Linked DNA regions of Drosophila melanogaster. The protein of the gene in region 3 interacts with the protein of the main gene of each other region in a pairwise test. Each region holds a gene or a part of one and is shown on either strand. Other genes may lie near its edges.

The links.
Region 1: the proteins of CG17991 (region 3) and CG6479 interact in a two-hybrid assay, tested with the Drosophila melanogaster proteins (one large-scale study listed by BioGRID).
Region 2: the proteins of CG17991 (region 3) and CG17564 interact in a two-hybrid assay, tested with the Drosophila melanogaster proteins (one large-scale study listed by BioGRID).

The regions. Positions count from the first base shown.
Region 1 is NT_037436.4:17,337,358-17,341,503, forward strand, and holds the start of CG6479 (uncharacterized protein), read right to left. Parts: upstream 1,906-4,146; 5' UTR 1,823-1,905; coding exon 1,800-1,822; intron 1,780-1,799; exon of another isoform or gene 1,755-1,779; coding exon of another isoform or gene 1,744-1,754; coding exon 1,439-1,743; intron 1,380-1,438; coding exon 772-1,379; intron 716-771; coding exon 386-715; intron 327-385; coding exon 1-326. Other genes in the region: CG13727 (uncharacterized protein), read right to left, coding at 2,922-3,436, 3,566-3,959.
Region 2 is NT_033779.5:19,297,972-19,302,117, forward strand, and holds CG17564 (uncharacterized protein), read right to left. Parts: upstream 1,963-4,146; 5' UTR 1,757-1,962; coding exon 1,644-1,756; intron 1,472-1,643; coding exon 1,017-1,471; intron 959-1,016; coding exon 671-958; intron 617-670; coding exon 465-616; 3' UTR 374-464; downstream 1-373. Other genes in the region: CG10750 (uncharacterized protein), read left to right, coding at 2,402-2,514, 2,577-3,031, 3,087-3,376, 3,431-3,568.
Region 3 is NT_033777.3:27,239,248-27,243,180, reverse strand, and holds CG17991 (uncharacterized protein), read right to left. Parts: upstream 1,915-3,933; 5' UTR 1,850-1,914; coding exon 965-1,849; 3' UTR 851-964; downstream 1-850. Other genes in the region: CG18766 (uncharacterized protein), read left to right, coding at 1-471; PolA2 (DNA polymerase alpha subunit 2), read right to left, coding at 2,078-3,907.

The DNA.
Region 1 (4,146 bases), on a different chromosome or scaffold from region 3:
TTGCCAAGATTTACGCACTCCAGAGCAGAGTCCTGGTGCTGTCGCATATAAATTAGGAACTGTATGATAACGTAGAACAGGTTATTCCTATCGTAGACGCAGTTGTGTAGTTCTTTGTCGCTGATAAAGTTAAATTTAGGGTTAAGTGGGTTGCCGGTACTTAAAATGGCGCAGTGGGCCTTGTTGTGAACTGCGTTCACCACGTCCTTGGTCGAGCTCTTCTCGTCGCGAATTAACACGTAGCGGGAGTGAAAGGGTCGTCCGCCGCCCTGCGGCAACGGCATCAACTGGCTATCCAAGTACACGCAAAATAAATGGAATATTATCTGCAGAATGAGGTTACAATTAATCAAGAGTGCTCAGTTGCGGAATTTCGTATACTCACAGCTGCATCGGTGGGCAAATGCTCGTCCCGCTGCTGACCGTTGTGTGTTTTGCCCGAGTACCAGCGGTAGTCAGCTATGCAAGAGCCCTGCGCAAGCTCCTTGATGCGCTGCACCAGGTATTCCTGGTTGCTGAAGGTGTCCAGGAAAGGTAAGAGCATGGGCAACATGGGCGCACACGTCTGCACGAACTGCTGGTTCTCGGCTGTTTTGCGTAATCTCTCTACACTCACAGATCCAATTTTAATGTCAATCAGAGCTCGCTGGCGGAAAACATCGTCCACATAATTGATCTCTTTGACCAAACGCTGAAGTATGGTCGTAGAAATCCACTAGAAAATGGTAAGACATTAGTACGTTGCAGTGGAATATTGAACGGGATGCTTACAAATCTTAGGTTGGCCACATATTGCGACAGTTTGTCCGTGGATATGCGCTTGATGACCTCCGAATTGCTGTCCCTAAACTGAATACCGCCAAACTCCTCAATCGAGGTGGGAGCATTTTCCGTAGAAACAGCCGGAGGTGGCGATAGTTGATAGATGGTGGTCTTGAGCATATAGGCCGCATTGTTGCAGTAGTTCCAGAAGGAGTTGGCCGATCCCATGCTCTGCACATTGGGTGTATCCGAGCTGTCCATCATGCTGCGCTCCCGATCCGCCTGCTTCATTAGACTGGTCAACTTTCGTGTATCGGTCATGAAGTCATCGCGTCGCACCTCCGCATACGGGGACATATAGGTAGACTCGTTGCTCAGATTGCTGGCATTCAGCGAGTTGTTTCGAACCATCGAGGAGTTGTAAGAGGTGTTTTGTTTCGTCTGCTGCGGCGTCCTTGTGGGACTGGGGCTGCGGCGCATGGATTGCGAGCCCCAGCAGGAGTCCTCGAAGGAGGAGTGCCAGTTGATGATGGGTATGTCGTCCTCTATATCGCTATCCGGTTCGTAGCTGCGTGGTTTCATCACGGCTCGGGAGCAAACTGTACGAAAAGAGTTCTCTATAGGAATAAAAGTGGTTAAGTGGATGCGTTAGAACGGGTTCCTTTGGATTCCTCACCTGCCTTGCCATCAAGCAGCCACTTTTGGATATCGCTACCCGTAACTTGGTCACCACCAAACCATAACCACAAATACTTGCCGAAGCAGGCGAGTGCACTTAGGCCAATCAGGGTCGTAATGGTGCACTCCGCCAGGAACCAGTAGGTCCTGTAGGCGGACCGACATGCCTGCCAGAGGTCGAAGAGGAGTAGCGACAGCAGCACCACATTTATGGAGCACCACTTGAGGTAATGCCGCGCTTGGGCGCCCTGCAATCGCAAGTCCAGGCTGCGCTGCACCACTGGGTTTTTACTCAGCGGCGAGCTGAGGAGCATTCATGGGTTAATTTTCTGAATTCTACACTAGTTTCTGTCACTTACCAATTAGTCCGTGTAAAATTCATTGCCTACTATGTGATAATTATTAGAAAATCACCTGAATAGGTCGAAAATGCCGGGAAAACTTGTTTGTAAGTGATAGCACAGACAAAAAGTTAGAATACCACAAGGTCAAAAAATAAATACCGTTTGGAATGAAACGCGTTATGTACTTTGTTGGCTCAAGATACCTTAGCGGAGACACTTTCCCTAGCGAAGACACACACCTATCGGCGATGTTTTCTTTGGTATGGATCAATATCCATGATATCATATTTTTTAATAGAACTAAAATTATTTTTATGATTTTTAAAATGATTTTTTGTTTATCCGAATGTTTAAAGCTATTCACCCACTCTAAACGTATTACTTATCAGCAACTTTTAATTTATCATTTAAATGCAGTGTTTTATAATATTTTTTAGAGTAGTTATAAAATTAGCTGTTTTTTAAACAAATTTTTTCTCTATCTTCAATATATTATGACATAAGCCGTACAAAACCGAAGACTCAACAATTTTGCAACATTTATGAGGACGCTAAAAAATTCCTTAATTTAATTTAATTTAGTTTGTTTTTAATGATATAAAATAACTTTTAATTTATTTCATTCCCTAAGTAAATTGTATATAATTGTGTACACATGCAACTAAATGTGTATTCTCAATAACTTAAAAATATTTTAAAATAAATATTTATAAAATATAACTTTTTTGTTTAAAAATTATACATTCCTTAGCGCACTGGGATGACTGGGGCTCGTCCGGGAATTGAACCCGGGACCTCTCGCACCCGAAGCGAGAATCATACCTCTAGACCAACGAGCCGGTTTGAACCTCAGTCGACTAATTACGCAATCTAATGTAAAAAAAAAACTTACATATAGCCATTACAAAAGGTTCCACAAGTCACTTAAAATTACGTTATCTTATTCTCTCCATATAGACAACTAATTATTAGGCTCTCGTAGCATTAGACCCTTAATTTAAATTATTTAAATTATTAAAATTATTTAAATGCCATCACTGACTTTAAATAAAAAACACGCTTGTAACTATATGATATATTAAAAATAATATCTTATATATTGTTTCCTGATTTAATACATTTTCGAGAGGACGGTACTTAGATAGAGCTATTCAGTTTTGCATCAGTATTCCCTGATCGTAAAGCCCGCTTCACTGCCCTTCTTCTCCTTCTTCGTTTGCCAACGACTGTAGGTCCGACACCCACTCCCACACCGATCCCCGGAACAGGAGCTAGTTGCAGCAGGAGAGGATTACTGACCAGGGCGGCGGCGATGCCCAGAACGGTGGCACTGGCCAGCGGAATCAGGAAGCTTTTGGCCAGCAAGGCCTTTGGTGAGATCTCTGGCGATCCCTTGTGGGAGACTATCTCGTGGGAGTCGATGGGGTAGGAGCTGTAGGAGTAATCCACTGCTGGCCCCGGGTAGTGGCCATGTTCGGGTCGAGGTCGATAAACGTGGTATGGCACCCCTGCCTCTCCGCTGGAGGAGTAGGTGTGCCCAGGAGCAGGTCCTGGCTCATAGCCATGTCCGTTGGATGGTCCGTAGTCATACTGATAAGGTTGACTGTCATAGGCGTAACTTTTGCCAGCACTTCCACTGCTGCCATAATGCCCTTAAATAGTATTAAATATATTTTTAATGAAATCTACAATAAACAACAGTCATCAATTTCAAATATTAATCATTTTAAGTTTGAGTTTATCTTTGTAGAATATATAGATTGAGTAATCTTTGAACTCACCCACGCTTATTCGATCGTGTATATTCCCACCTAGTTTCCACTTATCATAGGCCTGGCTAAGGTTATCATTTAGGTCACTAGCTTGGGAGCCATGAGCTCCTCCAAAAGGCGGCAGCGCACCAATGGGCTTGGATATGAAGCCAGCTGCAGTGCTATCCAACTTGGATGACGATGAGCCCGGTCCGCGGTAGAACTCCGGGGGAGGATCGTAGCTCTTGGCTACTGCGGAGCCCACGGGGTCCAGTTTCACGATAGCCTGTCGTTTCCGCGGCTGCATGGGCTGCCAGGACTCTGATTCCTTGGACGCGTTCTGTGCGGATGCGTGCGCTATGGTTAGAAGGAGACCGAGGCAAAGGCCAAAGGCCAAAAGTAACTTCCCTTGGGACGCGAACATGTTAACTGAGTGCGACGCCTGCAGACCGGCGGATTTTATATGGGTCCCGGTGTCGCCATGTCGTCATCTGGAGTGGGTGCCATTACAAGCGCTGGCGACAAATTGCAGTCCGACAATTTCAAACCGTCGCCGCTTGGCTGCTGGCATTGAGACGTCTGCAGTGCGTTTCGGGAGCGATTAGTGCCGC
Region 2 (4,146 bases), on a different chromosome or scaffold from region 3:
GCGCTAAATGTCGTCCAGTTGATGCACAGACTCTGGAGCTTAAGTACTGGCCTTCCATCCCGCCTGCAGATCTCTAATTAAATAAGCAAGTGTCACATTTGTCTTGAGTGCCCGACAATTCGGTGACTTATGATGACTGCAGAGCAGGACGCGACGAAAGCCGCTCCAGGACCCCAATTCGGACCATCCACTTGGACGGAGGCATTGAGGAGCAGCGGAGAAGATTTATGAGGTAAAAGCAATTAGAAAGTGGCATTAACAACCGAATGCAGAGCTCAGCACAATTAACAATTGCCACAAGCTGCAGGAGCAGGCTAAGAGCAGCGAACCATCACACAAAGCACTTCTTTCTATAGAAACAAACAAACGTTTTAAAAGTTTCGCTTTTAATAAGCTTTTATAGTTGTAATAGCTGTGAGGTGTGCCTAGTCTTCCCTATGAACTCTTTGAATTTTGATATCCAATTAGCACAGCGACTTATCTCTGGCTTCCTCGTGCTTTATCGAGGGATCAGATGATTCGATTTCCTTTACAACGCCAGTTAATATTTCCACTTCGCCCATGATGGCATCCAACACCTTGTCCAAGTCGCCGCGAGCGGGAAACGAATGTACATCTAAAATAATAAAATGAATAAATTATTTAATAATAGCAAGATTTTTTGACTAACCTCTTCGCCGTAGAAGGATTCGGTGAAGGTTGGTAATCGCATCTATTGTGCGCTCCTTGTCCATGTAGTTGTTGTTGATGGCGTCCTTGGTCTTGGCCAGGATCTTCTCCCATCTGAGGCACTGCACTCTGGACTCGTTGTAGGATCGTTCCAGTTTGGCCAGATCGTTCTTTAGACCCAGCACAGTTAGAGCCGCATCATTTGTGATCTGCACCATACGCTGCCGCATGTTCTCGATGTCCTGGAGCTTTTGATGCTCCAACTTGTTGATCTCCACTTGAGCCAGCACTGTAGAACAAAAAAAAATTAATAACTTTATTTCATTTTATAAATTAGCAATGCTCACTCAGCGCATCACAGCGATCGGTGCAGTCCTTTGGCGAGACGAATATGTCGGATACCTTCACCACCTCGTCGAGCACCTTCTCGTAGGGCTGGAACTCCTGCACGGTGGCCTTGAGAGCCTCCCGAAAGGCCTTGAGTTCGCCGATCGAGTCCTTGAAGCTCTCAATGCCCTCGCCGAGCTCCTTATGGTTGAGCGTCTCCGCTTGGGCGGTCTTCTCGGCCACTCTCTTTTTGTCCGCGCAGTCCTTGATGAAGCTGTTCACCTCGATGAAGCGCCGCCTCAGCCGCTCCTGGATCTTGTACATGTTCCTCACCCGGGCGGAGTTCAGCTTGGTCTGCCGCTTGGCACTGGTCAGCATCTCCTCCTGCAGCTTGAGCATGGCTTCGTGCTCGCGGAGATTGTTCACATATATCAGTTCGATGGAGTCGCCGGCAGAGTCCGAGTTCGGTGGAATTCTACAGGAAGTTACGAATAGGTCAAATAATTGATACCAGATAGAGACATCCTTGCAACAGTAAATTACGAAGCTGTAAAATTTCTCAAAAATCTCAAACTGCACTACCAGGATCATTTTAGGATTGGGTACTTCTCTTTCAGCCTTTTTTCAGTGTGGGATTCACTACTTACACGAAGAATTTGTTCTGCTGCTTAGAGCTGATATAGTCCCCCACGGCATCCTCCGGCCGCAGGTCCAGATTTCCCAGAACATCGAGCTTCTTGGTGGGCTTCACGCGGGGCATCTTGGATCTCTTTGCCGAAAGTAAAAGCTCAAGTGTACGTTTTTGTTAGTTTTTTATATTTTTTTTTGCTTTGGTTACCGCGATACAGCGCGGATTGTGCGTTTTGTAGTAGTAGTTGTGTGTGCTGTGTGCTTACTTTTCAAAGTGTGTTATTGTTTTGTAATAAAAATTAACAAGACCTACTTGGAACATGTTTTTTATTTGGGTGACACATAAAAACAATTGGTTGCCAGGAGGTTCTTTTATTACCGTGGCAATGGTTGAGAAGGTGTAACCAGTTTTGTGTCATGGTAACTGCACAATTTGGTTTCTTTCGAAAAAACAAAATAGGAAGCTTCTTCGGCAAGCCGAACCTAATATACTCTTGATACTCGATGATGATTAATTTTTAATCAACAACTATAGAATTATGATATCTTTTCAATTGTTTTTACTTGATTTAACGACTGGTCGTACTTATGAAGGAAACGTCAGCAATTGCATAAATATCTGAATGTAGTAATAAAAAATGGTTTAATCCTTTTATCCTTGACTGTGCTGTCTGCCCATATACATGTAGAATTACTCATCACACATCGTTCTCCAATAGATATTCCCCCAATATATATCAATATATTTGAAAAGATTATATTTTAATAGGACAAGATGCCGCGACGTAAGCCCACCATTAAGACCGATGTGATCGGGGATCTGGACCTCAGTCCAGAGGTCGCCATCGATGACTATCGCGTCTCTCGCCAGCAGGACCAATTCTTCGTGTAAGCTAAAAGAGCAACTACAATATGTAAGTCATACTATTAATGAAACTTGGATGGTCTAGGAAACCGCCCAATTGGGATTCGGCCGGGGATAACATCGAGATGCTGTACATAGCCAATCTCCGGGAGTACGACGCCATGAAGCAGGTTCAGATCCAGCTACTCAAAGATGCCAAGCGGCAAGCCGCATTAAATGTGCAGCGCATTCGCAAGATGTACAAGATTCAGGAGCGCCTGCGCAAACGCTTCGTCGAGGTGAATGGATTCATCAAGGATTGTGCGGACAAAAAGCGCAGTGCGGATAAGTCGATTCGCGAGGAGACCGTTCTCCACGCGGAGGTCACCAAGGAGATAGACGAGTTCAAGACCTCCATTGCCGAACTGAGCACCTTTCGCAATGCGCTCAAGGCCACGGTGGCTCAGTTTCAGCCATACGAGAGGGTCCTGGAGGAGGTAGTCGAGGTGTCGGACATCTTCATCTCAACGAAAGACTGCATCGATCGATGTGACGCTCTAAGTGGGTTCTCCACACCTCCTGTAATTTCCATTCTAAATTTGTTTTTGTTGTGCAGTGTTGGCCCAGGTGGAGATCAATAAGCTGGAGAGCCAGAAACTCAACGAGATCGAGGAGATGCGCCTGCGAATGGTTCAGATCACCAGCGAGGCGGCCTTGACCGTTTTGGGCCTCAAAAACGATCTGGCCCGTTTGGATCGTTCCTATGTCAGCTCGCGGGCCACTTGCCTCAAGTGGGAAAAGATACTAAGTGCCTGCAAGGACACCACGTCGCTCTACAACCTGGACAAGGAGCGCATGTTTGATGGCATTCAAATCCTGTACCGCATGCTCTGCAAACGTCGAGGTATGTCCTTGAAATCCTTTGACTCTAGCTGATGTACCAACTCCACCCCCGCAGACATTGTTCCCAGCTACCACAGCTATGAGATCGACAAAATCATGAGCTTCATCATGCGCGAAATAAGTCTTCTTTCATCGGTCCTCCAGGAATTGGAGTCCAATAAGGGCGATAAAGTCGGCGCTGGACGTATGTGCTAGTCGGAAAATATAATATTTTTCATGGAGCATAAATAAATAAATAAATGATTTTAAATCCTTTAATTAATGGAACGAAGTTCAAATAGCTTTTACTAATTTCCGTTTGGGTTATTTTTACTGCAAATATTTAAAAAAAATTCAGCCGAATCAGAGATTAGAAGGGTTGTAGCGAAGGAATAAATGTACGACTTGATTTATGAGCTCCAAACTGTTTAGGGTTTTTTGTTTGAACCGAGAGGCCTTACATCCTTTCAGATTTACTCTCATTCCTAAGAACTTAAATGGGCGCTCCACCTTCAGCTTTATGGCACCCATAACATTTGTCTAACCCCAAAACCTTGCCAGCCCTCCCAAAAAAAAAAAAAAAAAAAAAAAAAACTAGAGAACCCACAACATTCGGTTGGGCATTGTTGTTCCGTGCCCAAAAGAAAATCAAATGGAATCCGATAAAAAGGAAATGCATTCGAGGACTGAGATACCAGAGGCTGGGCAACTTTCAAGTGGCACACGAACTTCAAATCAGGGAAGGACAAAGCGATGGGCAAGAAAATAAAGTTGGCAAATCGAATCTGCGACAT
Region 3 (3,933 bases):
GGGATGCATCGGCACTTTATGGACCACTCCCAGCCACCACCCAATGCCGGCAGCGTGGACAACTTCATGGCCTCATCGGCGGCCGTGGCGGCGGTGGCTGCCGCTGCCTCAGCCCGCCTGGCGGATAACAACATGGATCAGCAAATGAACACGGCTGCCGGTGGAAGCGGTGGCAGTGGTGGTGGTGGGGGCAACACCAATGGAGGCGTGGCCAACTACCAGAAGATCAAGAAGTCGCACGAGGACTACGACAAGTTCGTGGACATTGTGAAGAACATCGTGGACACGCACAAGAGCACTCCCGATAAGGTGGACACGTTCGGCGACTTCATCAAATCGTACATGAAGCGCTGGCCGGAGCGGCTGCAGGACGAGGCCATCAACCACATCACCAACTATGTGATCGTGAAGAACATGGAGCACAGCATGGTCAGCAGCCACAATCCCGAGGGGGTGAACAACCGACAATAACAATACAAGCAGGAGCCCAACAACTGAACGAGTTGTTGGACGACGCAGCTCCAGGAACCAGGCACAGAAGCCGAACGAAGTGAGACGTTAGGCGAGGATTACTTAAGGTGGCGCGCAGTTACTTAACCGCATCTGAGTTGCGGCCAAGTTCATTGGACACACACACGGCATACAGTATTTTTTGTATAGTTAAAATATACATTGGAGTTTTAGTTCTCGACGATCGCGCCCTCGATACAGAGTTGACTTCCGTAAAGAGGGGGCTGGATCGATCAATCGTGCATAGAGATCCTAGGGAGTACATTACATTTAGACACCATTTCCTACTGTTAGCTGTAAACTATTATGCATAAATTAATAAATGCTTTAACGATTATTTATGATTGGTAGTAAGAATGCACTATTGACACGTAGTCTTAGGAAAATTGTACACTTTACAATTTAAATAGATATTCAAATTACTTCTTGCTTCTCTTGCAGATCTTGAGTTTACCTAGTGTCCGTCTGCCTCCGCTAGGTTTTCCTTCGTGTAATCCAAAACACGACGCTTCATACGACAGATGTATTGGCTATGCATGAGGTACATTTTGAGGAATCCCTTGATCGCTATGAAAGTCAATCCCCCAAGAAGAGTTTGTTGCAATCTATCGTCGACAGAGCTGTAAAGAACTCTACCCACGTACATGGATATGGTGGGCAAGAGGATGGCTCCACAGACCACCCGCGATGCTGAATATTCGGTCATTGGCGCAGAAGGGTATGGTTCGGTCTGGTGGTCATATTTCCGTCCTAGGCACATCATTGAAAGACTTCGCAGCAATGAATAACATATTCTAATGAAGCGCAACAGGGCATCTTCCCAGGGAATTAAGCGTCCAAGTATCAGAACTACCGAGATTAATGGGAATCCGACCAGAACAACCAACAGGTCTCCCGATTGAATTATTTGATGAACGTGACCTTCCTGACCAGTGATCTGCAAATATGTTTTTGCTCCGAATGAAACCGCTGACCAATAGGCAAAGACCACCGTGAAGACATTGGCCAGGCAATTATATAAGTTTGTTAGGATAAGATCGTTGGTCAGCTCCAAAGCCCTATCGAAAATCCAGAGATTCGGGTATGCAATGGTGTACTCCGTTTGGCATTGTGGACAGGAAACGGCTTGCAGATTGTTGTTTATTCGGGTCTTCTCGTCGATCCAGAGGGAAATGCAGCTCTGGTGCACCCACTTATTGGTTCCTCGGCAGAGACATGGATTCACCCAAGCCTGGCGACCTGCCTCCTTATCGGTCTCAAAACAGATCCAGCAACAGCGCTCCAGTTCCGTCGAATCTCCTCCAGCTGAAGCTTGTGGCGCAGCAACGTTGCTAGCCATTATTGATCTTGTTGTATATAAAACTTGAGTCTGAGAAAACTCCAGGGCATATGTTTACAAATAATACAATACCTACTTTGGCCCAAAATAACTAATGCTAGTTGTTTGTTGTTGAATGTATTTTGTGAAAAGTTATGACAAAGTAGTGTGTTCATTATATTAACTAATAATATTGTACTGATCTATTTCCCACTATCCTTTCCTTATCATCATCACAAAGTGGTCAGGTTAGATGCGTTGGACTTGACACGCCACACTGTTGAACATGTTGGCCGCCTTTCCCGGCACCGAAGGCGCCACCAGGAATCGGGCGAAAGTTCCACCCTTCTTGTCCGCGACACGGCCGGGATTGATCACCAGGCAGTCGTTGACCAAGCGGATGAAATGCCGCTGATCGCTGGGCAAGATGAGCACATTTGGTAGCTGTTTGAGCTGTGCATATTTCAACGCCAGCTGGGAATCGTAGGCCATGTCTTCGTCCGCCGGCGGATACAAAGGATAGAAGGAGCCCTGGTGGAACAAGTGGTTGATGGCCCTGTGCATCCGCTCGCCGGCATTCACAGCAAACTCGTGACTCAACAGGTGGTCCACCACGTCGGTTGAGGTAACGCCCAGCGTAAAGCCATCCAAGTCCACCAGAGATGGATCGGGCAGCATGTATAGATTTGGATAGGTTCTGCGCAGAGCGGGCGGCGGCGTTGGATATACGGAAAGAGCCATGGCATCCTTCTGACTGGTCACCACCAGCACTGCTGTGTGACTACCAATCGACTCCATTATTCCCCCAATCATCTTCTCGAAGAATGTATCGAAGGTCTCGGCCAGTTCGCCGACCATCTTGTGATCGGCATCCAGGAATGGTCCCGTGAGCACCAGCACGTCAGGTCTGTGATCCTTGAGGTACTTGAGCAGGTCGTGCAGCGGTTCGTAGAAGAGATCCGTACTGTCCGTAAAGGGTCCGGAGGCCACCACAAACTGAAGCTCCCTGTCTATTTGCAGTGGCGTTGCTGGCGTCAGTTTGCGCTCTGTGTGTATCTCCTCTACCATGAAGGTTTTGCCCCTGGGTATGAACCCTTTGGCGAGCACCACTTGACCTGGGAATATGCTGGCAGACTTGACCCTGGAGAAGTTGAGCGTGAGCGTTGGGTCCATTTCATCTTCTACATCGTCATCTAAAACGGCCATAAATGCGGAGTGGGCGTCCAGTGGGCCATCGTCCTCGGAATGAATCATTCCCACCGCGTGGAGTCCACCTGCGGACTGCAATACCTGCCTATCCTGCGGATACCAAATGCACTCGGCTGCGCCTGCTTGTCCAAGTTTCTTGTCCACTAGTGCCGGACCGGTTTGGTTGAAGCGGACGCGCAGGTTGTGACATCGGTCGGTCAGCAGGTCGTTCATGTAGCCCAAATTTGCGATGGTCAGCGGGGCGTCGTTGTGCAGCAGTTTTTGAGTCACCGGAACCGTGTGCTCCATTTGTGACTGCCAGCTGGAGCCAGCCAGGAGTTTGGGATGTCCGAAGGTGTCAACTATATCGCCCGGCTTGCCGGCCACTGAGTTGGATGGTGTTTCTAAACCTGCTTTCCTCTTTGCCGATTGGGGTGTATAGCTGGCGGGGCTAAAGAGTGCGGCGCCCTTGAGATTGGCGGTCCGATCCGACTGCTTCTTGGCCTTGGGCGTGTGCAGAGCGGAGGAGTCCACTGCCGATTCGCTGACATAGTCATCCAGCATGGGATCGTCCTCCATGACGCCATAGGTGGCCAGTGAGCTCGTATCCTGTACAGAGGGCGAACCATATGATTTCGCCTTCTGGCCAGTTGCCTTGTATCCCGCCTTGTCCTTCCGCAGCTGCAACACCTTGCGCTCAAAGTCGCCCAGATTCTCGATCGCAGGATCCTCGCCTTGGAGGTGCGACAAACTGAAGGCCATCCACTGCTCCACGAACTCGGTGGCGTCGTGGATGTTGTAGGTAATGGCCAGCTCCGCACACCTGCCCAGAACTGCGTCCGCTGGCTCCACGCCCATCTCGTCGAACTGCTGCTTCAATTCCTCCTCCATTCGTTGTCCTTTCGTTGGGCGTTTAA